Rhinolophus ferrumequinum: one gene and its partner. The protein of the gene in region 2 purifies or fractionates together with the protein of the main gene of each other region. This does not show direct contact. Links are inferred from orthologs where the notes say so. Each region holds a gene or a part of one and is shown on either strand. Other genes may lie near its edges.

Region 1 (7,746 bases), on a different chromosome or scaffold from region 2:
ACAATTTAAGGTTTTTTCAAGGACAATTTTAACGAAACACAACTTATTAGCTGACTTTACAAGCATACACCAGGCACCATAAAGATATGATTTTACGGAAATATTGGGAATGTTTTCTCTAGAGTAATGGTCTCAATCAGGGGCAAGTTTGCCACCCAGGGGGCATCTGACAATGTCTGGAGACATTCTGGATTGTTACAACTTGGGGAGGGGGTATTACAGGTATCTAATAGGCAGAGGCCAGGAATGCTGCTAAATAAACATTCTACAATACACAAGACAGCTCCCTCATAATAAAGAATTATCCGGCCCAAAGTGCTAAGCGCCGAGGCCGAGAAACCTTGTTCTACAGACACACTATGTTGAACACAGCAAGTCCTCCAATAATATCATTTCACGCAACATTGTCATTTTATTATAACGTTGATGAGATGTGATTGGAACTCTTGTTAATATCAATTCGCCTATGGTAAAACTGGTTTCGTTATACAATGTTTTGCTGCAGGTCCAAGAACCTATCGACGATGCCACATGAGGAATTACTGTATTTAGGTTCAATTCCAAACATAAAGAATGCACCAAATTGTCAAGAAATGTTTACATAACTTGGCTCTAATACTTATTGTTAAATCTCTAAATCCTTCAACCTTTCAACAGATTTCATAACTATAAATGTGCTCTTTATTTGAAATTAAACATCAGCACTACTACCCCTTACTTCCTAGGTTAATTACCACCATAAAAATATCACAATAAAAATAACTTATTTTTCCTAAGCTGTTAAATTGGTTCCCTAAAAGTTCTACTTGCTCTTAGCTATCTAGGTGCTAGTGGACGTGAATAAGGTCAGGTACCAAAGTACCATGTGAACTCTAACCTGGGCCCCACATTTCAGGAGCACACAAATACCCAACCTCTTTATAGACTATTTTTAGGTTTAACTCCTCCGTATTTATTTATTCATTCAAGCAAACACACTTACTGAGGTCCTACTATGTGTCAACCTGAATACAAAGACAAAAATATTTTACCAGTCTAATAAAAAGACAAACAGCTAAAACACAAAATGATTTGTGCTATAAATAAAAGTATCAAACAAGTGTTACGGAAGCTTACAGGGGAGAAAATGCCAGGAAAGGCTTCCTAGAATAGGGTGATGCTTGAACTGAGAAATGTCACAGAAAATATACCTTGTTCACATTTTAGTATTTAGACTACAGTTCTCTTCTGCTCTTACACACTATCTTTCAGTTTTTGCTTTGTCATCTAAACAAGAGCAAAGTGGTGATCCGAGTGATGTAAACAGACCAAAGCAGCAACAAATTCAATTTCATCAAATCTTAATGAAGAGTCAAAAAATACTTTTATCAAAGTATTCCCCAGTACCTCCATCCTGTCCAACTTCTGGTTTTGTGTTTTAAATATCCTGACTTCTTCCACCAAATAAACATAGCATCTGTCACCCAATTCACAAGCATTTCTTTCTGAATTTATAAGGCTGTCACAGGGACCGCTTACTTCTCTTTTCTTTCTTCTAGTTAGTTTCCTCTTCCAAAACGGAGTTTAATTTTTCTTACCTTCTTCTACTACAAAACTTTAAATTCTGTACCAGAGAGAAGCCATGAGTTTCAAGATACAAGAACTACAAAATGACTGTCTGCCTTTCTAAGTCTCAGCTATATTTCCTGCTTTCTACTCCAATACTGCTGTGGGTCATTAACCAGACACTTTCTTCTGAGTCCCCTGCAGCTGCTACAAATAAAAATTTTAGGTTTGGAACAGGAAACTAGCCAATGACTTCTGGTTTTACCGATTCGTTTTTCCAATACATAACATTACTAGCATTCTTTAACCAAAGTTTAAATTTAGTTTTCATGGTCTAGTTTTAGGGTACCACTAATCAAACAGAGCTGGTGGTAACTAAGTCGGAAACGCTACTGAAGACTGTACCTACTTCTAACTACCGACAGCCCCCGTCCCTCACCCCTACAACCGAAGGGAGTCCTCATAATGGAAAGTGGAACACCAAGGGAGAGTGATGTAGTAGACATATTTTTAGACTGGGCCAGATCTGGAATTGGCTAATTCTGTCCCTTCACTGGCCTCGGTTTCTTCATCTGTAAAACCTGTACGTGATATGAAGTAGGGAAATGGGCTTAATTTCTAAGATCCTTATGGCTATATATTATAGTAATCCAGAAACCCCATCTTTCTTCTCATCTAGCTTTACATGGAACACGTGGGAGGCCAGAAAATAATCTTTTACTCCACTAAACCGACCTTAATTCTCGGGTGTTTTAAAAAGCTAACAAACTCCCGACCCACCCACCCCAACCCTGGGGCTGCAAATGTCTCCTGTAGGAGAGGACAAGGCAAATAAAGCCCATCCCACACAACAGTCAAGGAAGTGCAGGGAGACCATATTCCTGGTGTTAAAGCGCTGTTCCCGCTAAGGACCGGCCCACCTAGTCACCGCCGGGCAAATGAATGAGCCTGGATTGATGGACGCTCCCTCAGCGTAGGCTGCGACCGGAGACACCCCGGACCCAGACCCCACCAAGAGCGATTCCCTTCCAGTTCCGGAAGAGCCGGGCCTCCCGGCCGCAGGATTGCGGGCCCCGCCCCCTCCCTCAGGGCAGAAGGTGCCGCCGGGGCGCGAGACTTCGGCGCGGAGAGGCCCTGGGACGCCCGGCGCACCGCCCGCCCTGAAGAAAGGAGGAGCCTGCCGGTCCCTGGCCGCCACCGCCCCGACTACCGACTTACCGTGGTGCGGTGGGGGAGGGGAAATGTCAAGAGTGAGGGCCTAGGCCCGTCCACCACCCGCCGCTCAGCGAGCAGCGCGCGGCTGCCACGAAACCGTCGCCGCCGCTGCCACCGCCGATACCTACCGCCGCTTCGGGCGCAGCGCACAGTGGGCCCGACTGCGTCACACGCCGCCCGCCGTCAGAGGCTCGCTCCGGGCGCTCCGCCCTCGCTGCCTGAGCATTGGCAAACGCCGCCGCCACTCTAGGCCCACCCTGTTACTCATTGGGCAACGACTCTTTTGAAACCCAACGTGAGGGAGGTCTTTGAGAGAAGGGGAGAAGAGGAAGAGGAGGGGCCTAAGAAGTTAGGGGGAGGAAGGGGGAGGGTTGGTGGGAGGGACGTGGAGCTCTGGCCCTCACCGCCGCCGTTGGCTGGGAGAGAGTCGTGACGTAACACAGGGCCCCTCGAAGTGGGCTGGTGAGTGGCTACGTTGGGCGGGGTGTGGGAGAAGAGCGGTGACGCTTATCGAAGCTCCGCCCACTTCCTTGGAGCGAAGAGACCCGCTGCTGAAGCTCCAGCCAATCAGAGGAAAGGCTCCAGGATGGCATGGTAACTATTCTACCCACACCTTGCCCCAATCCGTGGGCGGTGATGGGAAGGTTTCCCGGTCGTCCTTCCCTCACTTCTTGGCCAGACCTCTTATAGAGCTAGAGGGCCCCCCTGGGAACTCTGACTGCCCGCGTAGCTTTCCTGCAGCTGCTCCGAGGCCTTAAAACCAGGCCTTCTGGTCTCCTGTCCCACGCAAGCCCCAGCACCTTTCCCTCTCGGAATCCCTAGAATAGATGTTATGAGCATCAGAGATGCCCTAAGGGGATGGTTCAGCAAAAAACTTGGTACAAATGAGGATTCTTGGAACTTCTTTCCCACCTGCCCTTTAGGAATCCCCAGTTATTCTTAAAGTTCTGTTCAAATGCTCCCACCTTCTCTAGGATACATTCGCTGAATCTCTCTCAGCAAGTTGGGTTAATGCTTGGGCAGGCCTCTGTTACAGCCTTGTCACTTTGTATCCTATTACTTTCCTGTCTTCTGTGCCGCGGCTCTTGGAGGTCAGAGCTGCATTTTCTTCATCTTGGTGTTAAAAAACAAAATTCAACCAAGTAAATTTGCAGATCTGATTGGCTTTATTAAGCCATTCATTAATTGGGCAGCATCCCATCTAGCAACTGGAAAGGCAACTGAGAGGTTGTACAAATGGAAGGATTTTATAGGAAGAAGGGTGAGGCAAGGGAGCTATTAGCAAAAGTAAGGATTATTTTGGGGCTCTGACATCTTTTCTTTGAGGGAGGAGAAGGGGAAGGGTTTTTATTATGTAGATTACTCCTTTCTATGGAGGATGGAGAGGGCCTGTGTGACAGGTTACCTCACTGGTGCTTGACCAGAAATTTTCATAGTGGTTTGATTAAGGTCATGTTTCTAGGAGAGGTTGAAAATACAATTAGATCAATTATTAAATCGAGGTTTGGTATTATGGGCTTTTGGCATCAGTGATGCCATCTTGGGCCTATGGTTTTTTTCTTTAATATTGGTGTTCCTTTCCCTTGGGCCAAGCCTGGTGCAGAAGCCTGATATTACAAAGGGGAGGGTTGAGCATGTTCTAAAAACTAGGCCTAGTGACTGAGAGTCCCACATAGAATAGCACCGACTGTGCTCAGAAAGCCTACTTGATTTACCTCTCCACCACCGCCTGCCTCCTCCTGGGGCATCAATACAAAATTGAAATGGGCTCTGCCCAAAAGTAGGTGACCTTAAATCCCTGTGGGTTTTCAGTGGTGGCAAGAGATTGGAGATAATTGATTAATTTGTCAAACAGTGGAGTGGTCATAAAGATGAAATAAGATAATGGATAGGAGAAATCTGGTACCTTGTAGGTGCTCAGTAGATGCTTGAAAGAAGAAGGAAAAAAATACGTGGAGTGTCGAATAGTAAAACTAGTTTGAATATCTGACTCCAACCACCTTCCCCCAACTCCTCCACCCAAATATCTCTCTTTTTCCTCCACCCTCTCTTACCTATGTGCTGCATCAGAAAGTCATCAGTTCTCCCCGGATAGTTACAATAGCTTCCTCATTGCCCTTCTGAACCTTTGATTTGTCATCTTTCAATCCTCAAACCCAACCAAACCTTTCCCCTACTTACTGTGTTTCCCCGAAAATGAGACCTAGCCGGACAATCAACTCTAATGTGTCCTTTGGAGCAAAAATTAATATAAGACCTGGTCTTATTTTACTATAATATAAGGCCCAGTCTTGCATAATATATAGTATAATATAATAATATAATATAATACCGGGTCTTATATTAACTTTTGTTCCAAAAGACGCATTAGAGCTGATTGTCTGGCTAGGTCTTATTTTCGGGGAAACACGGTATTTAGTCTGGTGTCCTTAAGGCCAAACACACAGTACAGGCGCACATTAAATGTTTGATGCATGAATGAGTGAATTATTTTCTTAAGTAGAAAAATAGAAGTGTGAAATTTTTGAGTTGGAGAAGCCTGGGTTTATATTTGAGCCCAACCATGTATTAGCTGTATGAACTTGGGCAAATTTCTTAACCCCTCTGAGTCTCAGTTTCCGTGTCTGTAAAAATGGGGATAACCCTACTTTCCCCACAGGGTAATTGTGAGAATTAAATGTGATAAAGCACTTATCAGGTACCTGGTACACAGTAATCCCTCAGTGAATGGTAGATATTATTTATATTCTTTAAAAATGTCAAGGAATTCTAATTAGTCTAAGACATGATTCTTAGAAAAGGGGCTCAGAAATATGTCTTGAGGGAGTGAGGACATTCAGTCCAAAGTACTAGTGGGTGTGCAAGACCTAGGACCCTTAAATACTTGCGGGAAAACTGGAGGGAGAAGAGGACGAATTGGATGAGGAATGCTCCAGGGAGGAATTCCCTGTGAACATGGTGGTTTCGAAGTGAAGGACTCTTGTTAGGTACTCTGTAGGCATGTGGCCCACAAGCTCATCATTCTCAGGGATTTCTGCCCAGGGAAGAACTTCTACAGACATGGAGTTTGGTGTATGTTCACAAAAGCTTGTGGAGCCAAGCCCTGTTTTGGCATCAGTAGCCCAGAGATGTCCACAGCTCAAAACTCTGCCATGGCCAGTTCTGTCCTGGGAACCCCCAGTCTCTCACATACATGCCCTGAGAACTCACTTTATGCAGCAATGAGGAATTGGAGCTCAGGGAGGAGATAGTCCTCTAGAGATTGCAGAATCATGGAAGGGCAAGACACTTCCTTGGGATGGTTCTAGATTTCTTACATGGTGCATTGGAAAGAGCAGCAGAATTGGAGTCATACAGCTAAGTTCAACTGCCAGATCTGCTACTTTTTAGACTTTGCACAAATTATTTAATTGTTCTGTGCCCCAGTTTTCTTGCTATAAAATGGGCACAGTAATTCCTGTTTTATAAGGTGGTTGTAAAGTTCAAATAAGATAATGGAATTTGCAAAGGACTGGACTGGGTACATGTTTGGCACATAGTAAGCACTCAGTAAATGTTGACTTCCTTCCTCTTTTCCTATAACTTGATAGTGAAGGGTGATGTTTGCAAATAGCATGTATTTTTATAAATCTTGTGTGAATACCTTTGACTTTTTTTTTTAATTACTTTTTTTTTAAGATTTTTAAAAAATTTTTTTTTTAATTGGGGAAAGGGAACAGGACTTTATTGAAGAACAGTGTGTACTACTTCCAGGACTTTTTTCCAAGTCAACTTGTTGTCCTTTCAATTTTAGTTGTGGAGGGCGCAGCTCAGCTCCAGGTCCGGTTGCCATTGCTAGTTGCACTGGGCGCAGCCCACCATCCCTTGGAGGAGTTGAACCGGCAACCTTGTGGTTGAGAGGACGTGCTCCAACCAACTGAGCCATCCGGGAGCTCAGTGGCAGCTCAGCTCAAGGTGCCGTGTTCAATCTTAGTTGCAGGGGGCGCTGCCCACCATCCCTTGCGGGACTCGAGAAATGGAACCGGCAACCTTGTGGTTGAGAGCCCTCTGGCCCATGTGGGAATCGAACGGGCAGCCTTCGGAGTTAGGAGCATGGAGCTCCAACCGCCTGAGCCACCGGGCCAGCCCCAATACCTTTGACTTTTAACTAGAGCATTTAGTTCATTGCAGTTAATGAATTTACTGGTATATTCAGGATTTTATCTAACACTTTATACTTTCTACTGTCCTTTCAATTATTTTTCTGCCTCTCCTTTATTTATTTTTCCTCCTCACATTTCTCACTTGCGTTAGTTTATGAGAATAACTGTTTTCTTTTTTTAAGATTCTACTCCGCCATATTGACCAGATTTCTCCTCTCCTTTATTTATTTATTTATAATAATAATTGCCATTTATTGAAACCCAGATCTTTGTCAGATTTTTTAAATTGAGATATAATTCACATAACATGAGGATATAATTCACGTATAATAATAATTCACATATAATTCACATTCACCCACTTAAAGAGTACAATTCAGAGGTTTTTAGTATATTTAGTATTTTAGTATATTCACAAGGTTGTGCAACCATCACGACTGTCCAATTTCAGAACATTTTCGTAACCATGAATAGAAACCCCAGCTCCATTAGCAGTCGTTCTCCAACTCCCCCTTCCCCAGCCCCTGGCAACTACTAATCTGCTTTGTCTCAATGGATTTGTCTAGTCTGGACATTTCATATAAATGGAATCATAAATATGCGGTCTCTGTGTCTGATTTATTTCACTTGGCATAATGTTTTCAAGGTTCATCCATGTTGTACATCAGTACCTCATTCCTTTTTATGGTCAAATAATATTTTATTTTATGGATATCACATTTTGTTTATACATTCATGAGTTGAATAACATTTTAGTTGTTCCATCTTATGGCTACTATGAATAGTACTGCTATTAACACTCATGTACAAGTTTCTTGTGGACATATGTTTTCATTTCGCTTGT
Region 2 (7,898 bases):
GTTTCTTTTAAGTTTTCTGCTTTTCTCAAAATCAGTCATCTCCTCTCTTGGTTCTAGGTATGCCATTTTATTTTACTTACTATTATTTTTTTCATTTAAAAGAGGTCCTTAACATCTGTCATTGGTCCCTACTTCAAATAATCCAGCATATCTCAAGATAAAGATTTAGGGAGTTCCTTAGAAGTAGAGCTAAAATATCCAAACAACTATTTGGTGATAGTTACTTCGTAAATAGATTAATGGGTTAAAGTGATAAAGTGACCAAATGTCCTGGATTAGTTAGCACAGTACTCAGTTCCTCCTTTTTGTCCTGGTGACACTGGCCCAGATTCCATTCAAGATTAAGTGTCCTGCAAGTTCTTACCATCTGAAAACTGGGAGGCTGTCACGCTGTAGATTAAATGGCTGAGGTTAGAATCCTCAGTCCAGGCAGATTATAAGGCCAGGGTGACATTCAGGCACTATTTTTCTTGAGATACATTTAGAAAGATGTTAATTCAGAAAATGGGTGTGACTGGGATATAATTCCAAGAGGCAGAAGATGTGGGTTGCGATTACTAAAAATTGAGATCCCAGTACTTTCTGAATTGTGAAATGGCACTGTAGGCATAAGAGACAAAAACAAATAAATTGATTAAGCTTTCTTATGTTACAGGACTTTTCCTGGAGGTTTTAGATTTTTTCATTTTGTAATTTAATTCTTATTCAGTTTCTTTTACACAGGAGTTAACCAAAGAACTTGTCCCACATCACACAACTAAGTGGCGGAACTAGAGTCTTTCTGACTCTCAATGCCATATTTTTACCATGCCAAAAAATAAAAAATGGCCAAGGTACAGAAATGCACAGTCAAAATTAAGTACAACTGGATAGTAGAGACTTAACAAGTGGAAGGCCAGAGGCCAGAAACTCAACATCTGGATGACCAGGAAGGAAAGATTACTCCTGCTCCAGGGGCTAAAAACGTATTTATTTCATAATTAATAAAATATAAACAGATGATATAAAAATGTTTTTTTCTGGAAGCAAGCCTAGATTTTTACCTTAAGACCTGAAGTAGATGTGTCATTAACTAATATATGCTGTTGAGCAAGTAATGTTAGAGTCTCAAATTTCTTATTTTAAAAAATGGAGTAAGAAAAGATGATATAGGAACATTTGTGACAACATGGATGGATCTTGAGAGTATAATGCTAAGCTACATAAGTCAGACAGAAAAAGCAGAGAACCATACGATTTAACTGATATGTGGTATATAAACCAAAAACAACAAAAGAACAAGACAAACAAGTGAGAAACAAAAACTCATAGACACAGACAATAGTTTAGTGGTTACCAGAGAGTAAGGGGGTTGGGGGGTGGGAGATGAGGGTAAGGGGATCAAATATATGGTAATGGAAGGAGAAGTGACTCTGGGTGGTGAACACACAATGGGATTTATAGATGATGTAATACAGAATTGTACACCTGAAACCTATGTAATTTTATTAACAGTTGTCACCCCAATAAATAAATAAAAAAATGGAAACAATATCGTTTAACTCAAATAGTGATGATTACATAAGAGAGTAAAAGTTAAACTGCTTAGCCCAGAATATGGGTTCAGTAAATGTTAGTAATAATAGTCATCATCATCATTGTTGTTGTTGTCTCCTTAAATTTAAGTAAGTTAATTTACCTCATGATTGAAACTAAGAAGGTTTCTATAATTCCGAAAAATGGTTGGGAAATGCTTTCTTAGATGAGTGGTCCATCCTAAGCTCCAATGTGAACCTGAGGTAAAAGGAAATTCTACATATAATCATGGTGGTAGATTACTTGCAAAGATGCCACAATAATTCCATATGGAATTATATATATATATGAATATATCCCTTTACAATGTGCCTTTGCCACTCCTCCATCAAGATGTAGAATTTATTTTCCCATCTCTTAAACTGGAGTTGGCCTTGTGATTTGCTTTCATGACAGAATGCAACAGAAATTACATTGTACAACTTTAGAGTTTAGGCTTTAAGAGGGTTTGCAGCTTCCACTCATACTGTCTTGGAAGCCAGATGCTATATAAAAAAGTCTGGAATATCCTGCTGGAGACATATACCCCAGCGAATAGCCACCACCTGCATCTGGACGTGTGCGTGAGGATAACTAAGTCACCCAGCCCAGTCAAGCCATCAGATGACTTCATCCACATGAATAACCCTACGCAAGGCTGGCATAAGAACCATCCAGCTGAACCTAGCTCAAAATGCTGACTCATAGAATTGTAAGTAAATAAATGGCTGTTACCTTAAACCAGTAAGTTTTGGAGTGGCTTATTACACAACAACAGATATCTACAACAATCACCATATTTGAATTGTTTTTAAAATTATTAATATTTATTAAATGAATACCAACAGCAAGGCATCAGGCGAGGTGCAGAAAGTGAGACAAATTATGTAAAGTTTGTCCACTGCCTTGAAATAAGTTTATAATCTATATCAGGAGGTGATAAAGTATTTAAGTAACTATTACACAAGGCACTGTATTAAAAGAGCCATCGAGTAACAACCATATTGTCATAAGAATTAAAAAATAGGATTATTTCTGCTGGAGGTGATAAGGGAAGGATTAATCAAGAAAATAACATTACAGTTAAGCCTTGAAAGATTTTGACAGTGGAGGTTGGAAGAGAAGCAATTCTACGGGAAAGAAAAATGAATGAGAATTATAGTCCCAGGAGAGAGTAAAGAATGCTCACACTTGTCAATAGTTTTAGTTTTAGTTTTAGTTTATATGTGTAGCTATGGGAGCGCCGTTCTTCATTCAACAAATAAGCAACAACTTCATTCCAGGCACTGCCTACTTCTCTGTTATTATGTAATAGATGTGGAAACTGAAACAGAGCTGTGGAAGCTGTCACTAATCCAAGCTCACAGAAAGTGATGGAGCAGGGATTTGAATACAACCATTTTGATTCCAGAACACTGTATTGGGCCATGTCTTGAGTAAATTAAAAAGTTAGTTACATAAGGAAAAATATATCCTGGCACCAAACTGAATATCCACCAACAGTTAAATAGTAAAATAAATTGTGGTAAATTTATATAATGGAATATAGCAGTGAAAATAAAAGTACTATAATTATACAAAACAAGCAGAAATCTCCAACACTTAAATATTGAGCAGAAAAAGCTAATTAAGAAGAAAACATGCAGTATAATTGTGTCAAAATCAGGCAAAATTATGTTGTTTAGAGATAACTACATACATTGCAAAACTAAAACGAAAGTCAAAGAAATGATGAGTACAAAATTCAGGATAGTGGCTTCCTCCAGAGGGGGAGAAAAGAAATTGAAATTAGGGAGGGGTCATAGAGTTCTTCAAGGAACTGGTTACATTAGTTTTTCTTAAACTGGATCCTGTTTATCATTTTAAACTACAGATATGTTACACATATCTTGTGTACATGATATATGTTTAAATGTAATAGATTTCACACAACAAAAAGTACTGTGGGGTTCAAAAGAAAAAAGCCAGGAATTGAAATGAATCAGATATTAGAGAGGGCATTTCAGAAAAAACAGAGGCAGGAAAAGGGGTTGAAGAGAGGAAAAATAGGAAAGAAATAGGGAGATGGTTATTTTTTACAGTAGCCTATATTTGTAGGGAAGTAGTGGTGGGAAAAATTTAGATAAAGTTGTGGCCAGAATGTGGAGATTCTTGGAAGCTGGCCTGAAGCATTTGTAAACCTCACACTGTAAACAATGGGGACTTTGTATCAGTTAGCATTCCTTAGTTTTAGGTAACATAAAACAATTATGACTAACCCAAATAAAAAGAGAAAAAAGAGAGAGGTAGAGAGATGGATGGAGAGAGAGGAGGGAAGGAGAAAGGGAGAGGAAGAAGAGAAACAGAAACAGAGAAATAGACTGAGTAGTTTTATTGGATAGGTTACATTATCAAGTGACCAGTCTAGGAACCTGGCATCTCTGGGGATCTCAGGGAGATGAACTGATAGACCAGCTCTTTAGGGCACTCAGTTCCTACTACCTTTTATCCCAGTGTATCTCCATCCAAGATTTCAGTTTCTAGGAGAGTATCAATGACCTAGTATGTCTACTTCTGTGATCTGGGAGGTGGGGTTCTGTGCTTGCAGCTCATTAGACTACAGGCAGCAGAGGTATGTAGGTAGATCCCCAAAGGAAGGTACATCGAATAGAATTTTTTTTTTTTTCAAAAAAGGCCCCGTATGGTTTCCTCAGTGAACTATGGGATGATTACTGTCCAAAACTTGATTCCCTTATTCAAGCAAATTGTCTTCATCTAAACATGTACTAATTTAAACCTCTGGAATCGTTGACGTCATTCCACTGAGCTAACATTATCGTTTTGAGTGACCTTACGTTTGTACGTCTCTACTACTGCACCCATCTCAGATAATTACCAGATTTGGTACCTATTGCTTGAGATAGAACTCAAGTTAATTATCCTTTGCGGAAGATTGGCAGAAAACGCTAAAAGAAATACATATAAGAAAACGATGACACTCCGAGACAGAAACCCAGCGACCTAGCCGAGCGACGCCAAACTGCTGCCGTCCCTACTGTGAGTTGAGCAACGTTCCCAGCTCAGGAGCTCCCAGGGGCGGTTAAACCCGCAGCGACGGTCCGAGCCCATCGCGTAGAGCCGAACTGCACACTGGGAACTTTAGTTCCTCAGGGAAGGGACCGAGGGGCGGACGCCGCACAAGCGCACTAGGAGCTCAGGGCAACAAAAGACGGCGGCGTGCGCGCGCGCGCCGGAGAAAGACACGGGACGGCGTGCGCGCGCGGCCGCCTCTCTGAGCTACCGGAGGCGGCTGAGAGGACAGAGAGAGGGAGGGGCAGAAACCAACGACCGCAGGAGGAGGAGAAGGGGTTGTGCTCCCGGCCTTGAGAGGAGAAAGGGGCGGGGCCGACGAGCCGCGTGTGGAGGTGCCGAGCTCTTGGGACCTGCCAGCGCGCGGGGGTTTTGGCCCTCGCCGTCCCTGTGGCCGCTGCCGTCCCTTAGTCGCCGTCGGTCTGCGGGAGACGGGTTATGGCGGCGGCGGCAGTGGGAGCTGTGAATGAATTCTCCGGGCGGACGAGGGAAGAAAAAAGGCTCCGGCGGCGCCAGCAGCCCGGTGCCTCCCAGGCCTCCGCCCCCCTGCCTGGCCCCCGCCCGTCCCGCCCCCAGGCCGGCCCCTCCGCCGGAGTCGCTGCATAAGCGGAACCTGTACTACTTCTCCTACCCGCTGTTCGTAGGCTTCGCGCTGCTGCGTTTGGTCGCCTTCCACCTGGGGCTCCTCTTCGTGTGGCTCTGCCAGCGCTTCTCCCGCGCCCTCATGGCCGCCAAGAGGAGCTCCCCGGCTGCGCCGTCGTCGGCCTCACCACCGGCGCCGGTGCCGGGCGGGGAGGCTGAGCGCGTCCGAGCCTTCCACAAACAGGCCTTCGAGTACATCTCTGTTGCCCTGCGCATCGATGAGGACGAGAAAGGTAACCGGAGGGCTGGGGGGAAGGGGCGGCGGCGCCGGGAAGAAATTGGTGGGGTCGCCGAAAGAGGGCAACACCTGCGTCCCTTTCCTGCGGGAGCGGGCTGTGCACCCCCGGAATTGATCCGCCCCATGAGACTGCTTCCCCGCAGTCAGACCTTCATCCTCTACGATTCTCAGTTAAAATCTCTCCCCTTTCAGGGCGCTCTAGCTGTCGACTTGGTTTCAGACACCGGCCTTCCCCTACACTTCTCAGGACCCAAGTCTCTATGAGATATCTGGACGTGCTGATGACAGTGACAGTTGTCCTAGAGTGACCACACGGATTCTTTCTCGCACTGTAAACAGTGTGTCTTCCTTTGAGCCAGGTTTCTAAAAGGTTTTGATATCGAAGAAGCTGTGCCTTGTTATAGCCTTTTAATGAAAGCAGAGTACTGTAGTGTCAAAAAAAAAGAACAAATGGTGACTTAATTTTGAAAAGAACAGCTGCATATGATTACAGCTGAATTTGCATTTTTAAAGTTTCATGACAGTCATTTGATCAGTATAATGACTCCTAAGTATTTTTCAGTAAAGTTTTAGCGTAAAACTTTGTCTCTGGTTAGTTTGATTTTATCTAAATCAGTATTCCAAGGTAGCCTCTGTGTTTCTAAATTGAAATGTTAAGTGAATGAGTAGGATAAACTTATACCATTTTACAATAAAACTTAAAATGTTTCTGAACGAAAGCAAAGATACTACATCCTTCAGATTCCTTTTAAGCTAATGTTTTTTAGCCTTTCTATGTGTCAGGCACGGTGCTCTTAGCTTTGCATGTGTTATCTATTTAATCCTCACAATTACCCTGTGAGGTGAAGGTACTGTTACTGTCAGCATGTTACAGATGAACAAACTAAGGCTCCAAAGATTAAAGCAGATCATTCCAAACCTATGCTAGTTGCTAATGAAAGTTTTTTTTATGGAAGATGATAAATGAAATTAGGAATAACATTTTGAAAATTCCTGTTTTCATCCCAACTCCAGTATGCTGAGATTTTCTTTTCCCTCTAACTACCAAAGAATAGTTTTCTACCACACCTCAATTAAGTACTCACTTGCATTGTCCATTAGTTAAATTAAAAAAAAAAAAGCCAATCTGCACTTCATTTGTAGTCGCTCTCTCTCCACTATCAACTCCAGAGACTGTTCTAGAATTTCAGTTTTGTTGAAACCTATTTCTTTGGTGGGGCGAGGTAGTAAGAAGTAGGATATAAGGAAAGGCAGTGATTGGTGGTTTTGGAGTGTAAGAGTGGAGGTTAAGAGGGTTCAAGGAAGGAGACACACTTAAGAAAAAATACCATGTATTTCTGGAAGGAAGTGTTTTGTTAACTGCTTCATTCTTTACCACCTCTTAGGAACATCCAAGGATCTCTTGGGGAGGATGAAGAAGGGTACCATCGTCCTTTCCTAGAGAAGCACTGTTTTATTGCAGTACCCTATTACAATAGGGTCCTCTGAAGTTGATTAATCTAGGTCAAAAGATGTTTTTGAGTAGAGGAAATATGTTTAAAGGTAGATTAATTGTTGTGTTTAGGAAGAGAATGCCAGAAAATAAAATTCTAGTTAATACTGGGTGGTGGGCGTTGGGAGGTAGGATAAGGAGAGAGGTCAAGGAAAACCGAGGTATGGAAAAGGAAAAAGACCCTAGGCTCTTAGATTAGCAGAAAAATCAGTTCTGTGTGAGGATTCGTGACAGAAGTAGAATTCAGACCTTGAGTTTCATGCTAGTGATTTATCTTTGAGTATCACATATGCATATATTATATTTAAATCCTTCTAACATATTTCCTTATGTATAAATATTTCAGCAATCTACGTGCCCCTTATTTCACCCTCTTTCTACTGATGATGTTTGTATTCAAAGGCTTTTGTTTTATTTATGTGTTAATTTCTAAAGTGAACATCAGAATGGGCTATGATAACTCTTCAGTTTGAATTCTATAACTGATGAATCATGAGAAAATAAATTCAAACAAACAAATTAGTTATATATTCATTTTCCTGTAAAAATGAAGTAAAACAGAGTTCATATTGTCATGGTTCTATCTTAAGTTTTTCCTTTAGCATATTGAAAAATTTTGTACTTCAGCCTTAATCGAGTTGGTGTAAGAATTCACATTTGAAGTCTATTTGCCTCAGAGCCATCCTTGACAATACAGAACTTAATTCCAAGAGAATTTCATTCTCCCTCTTTCACACTGCATTAAAATATATATCAACAACAACAAACATACATACATATAAACAAATAGAAATGAACTGGATAGGCAGTCTTCAAAGTTTTCCTAACTCTGTTAAACCCTTAAGGGTCTTGTATTGTCATGTACTGCCATTCTCTTAGCAACTTGACTTAGCTTCTGAATGT

Evidence for each region.
Region 1: the proteins of SPAST (region 2) and NUP98 purify together in Homo sapiens (affinity purification with mass spectrometry; 3 studies listed by BioGRID and IntAct, counting the BioPlex papers as one, with this or other methods). This does not show direct contact. The link is inferred for Rhinolophus ferrumequinum from reciprocal best matches to the Homo sapiens genes SPAST and NUP98.

Annotation. Positions count from the first base shown.
Region 1 is NC_046294.1:47,376,055-47,383,800, reverse strand, and holds the start of NUP98 (nuclear pore complex protein Nup98-Nup96), read right to left. Parts: upstream 3,020-7,746; 5' UTR 2,889-3,019; exon of another isoform or gene 2,764-2,888; intron 1-2,763. UniProt on the Homo sapiens protein: Plays a role in the nuclear pore complex (NPC) assembly and/or maintenance. NUP98 and NUP96 are involved in the bidirectional transport across the NPC. May anchor NUP153 and TPR to the NPC.
Region 2 is NC_046296.1:49,702,201-49,710,098, reverse strand, and holds the start of SPAST (spastin), read left to right. Parts: upstream 1-4,804; 5' UTR 4,805-5,089; coding exon 5,090-5,498; intron 5,499-7,898. UniProt on the Homo sapiens protein: ATP-dependent microtubule severing protein that specifically recognizes and cuts microtubules that are polyglutamylated.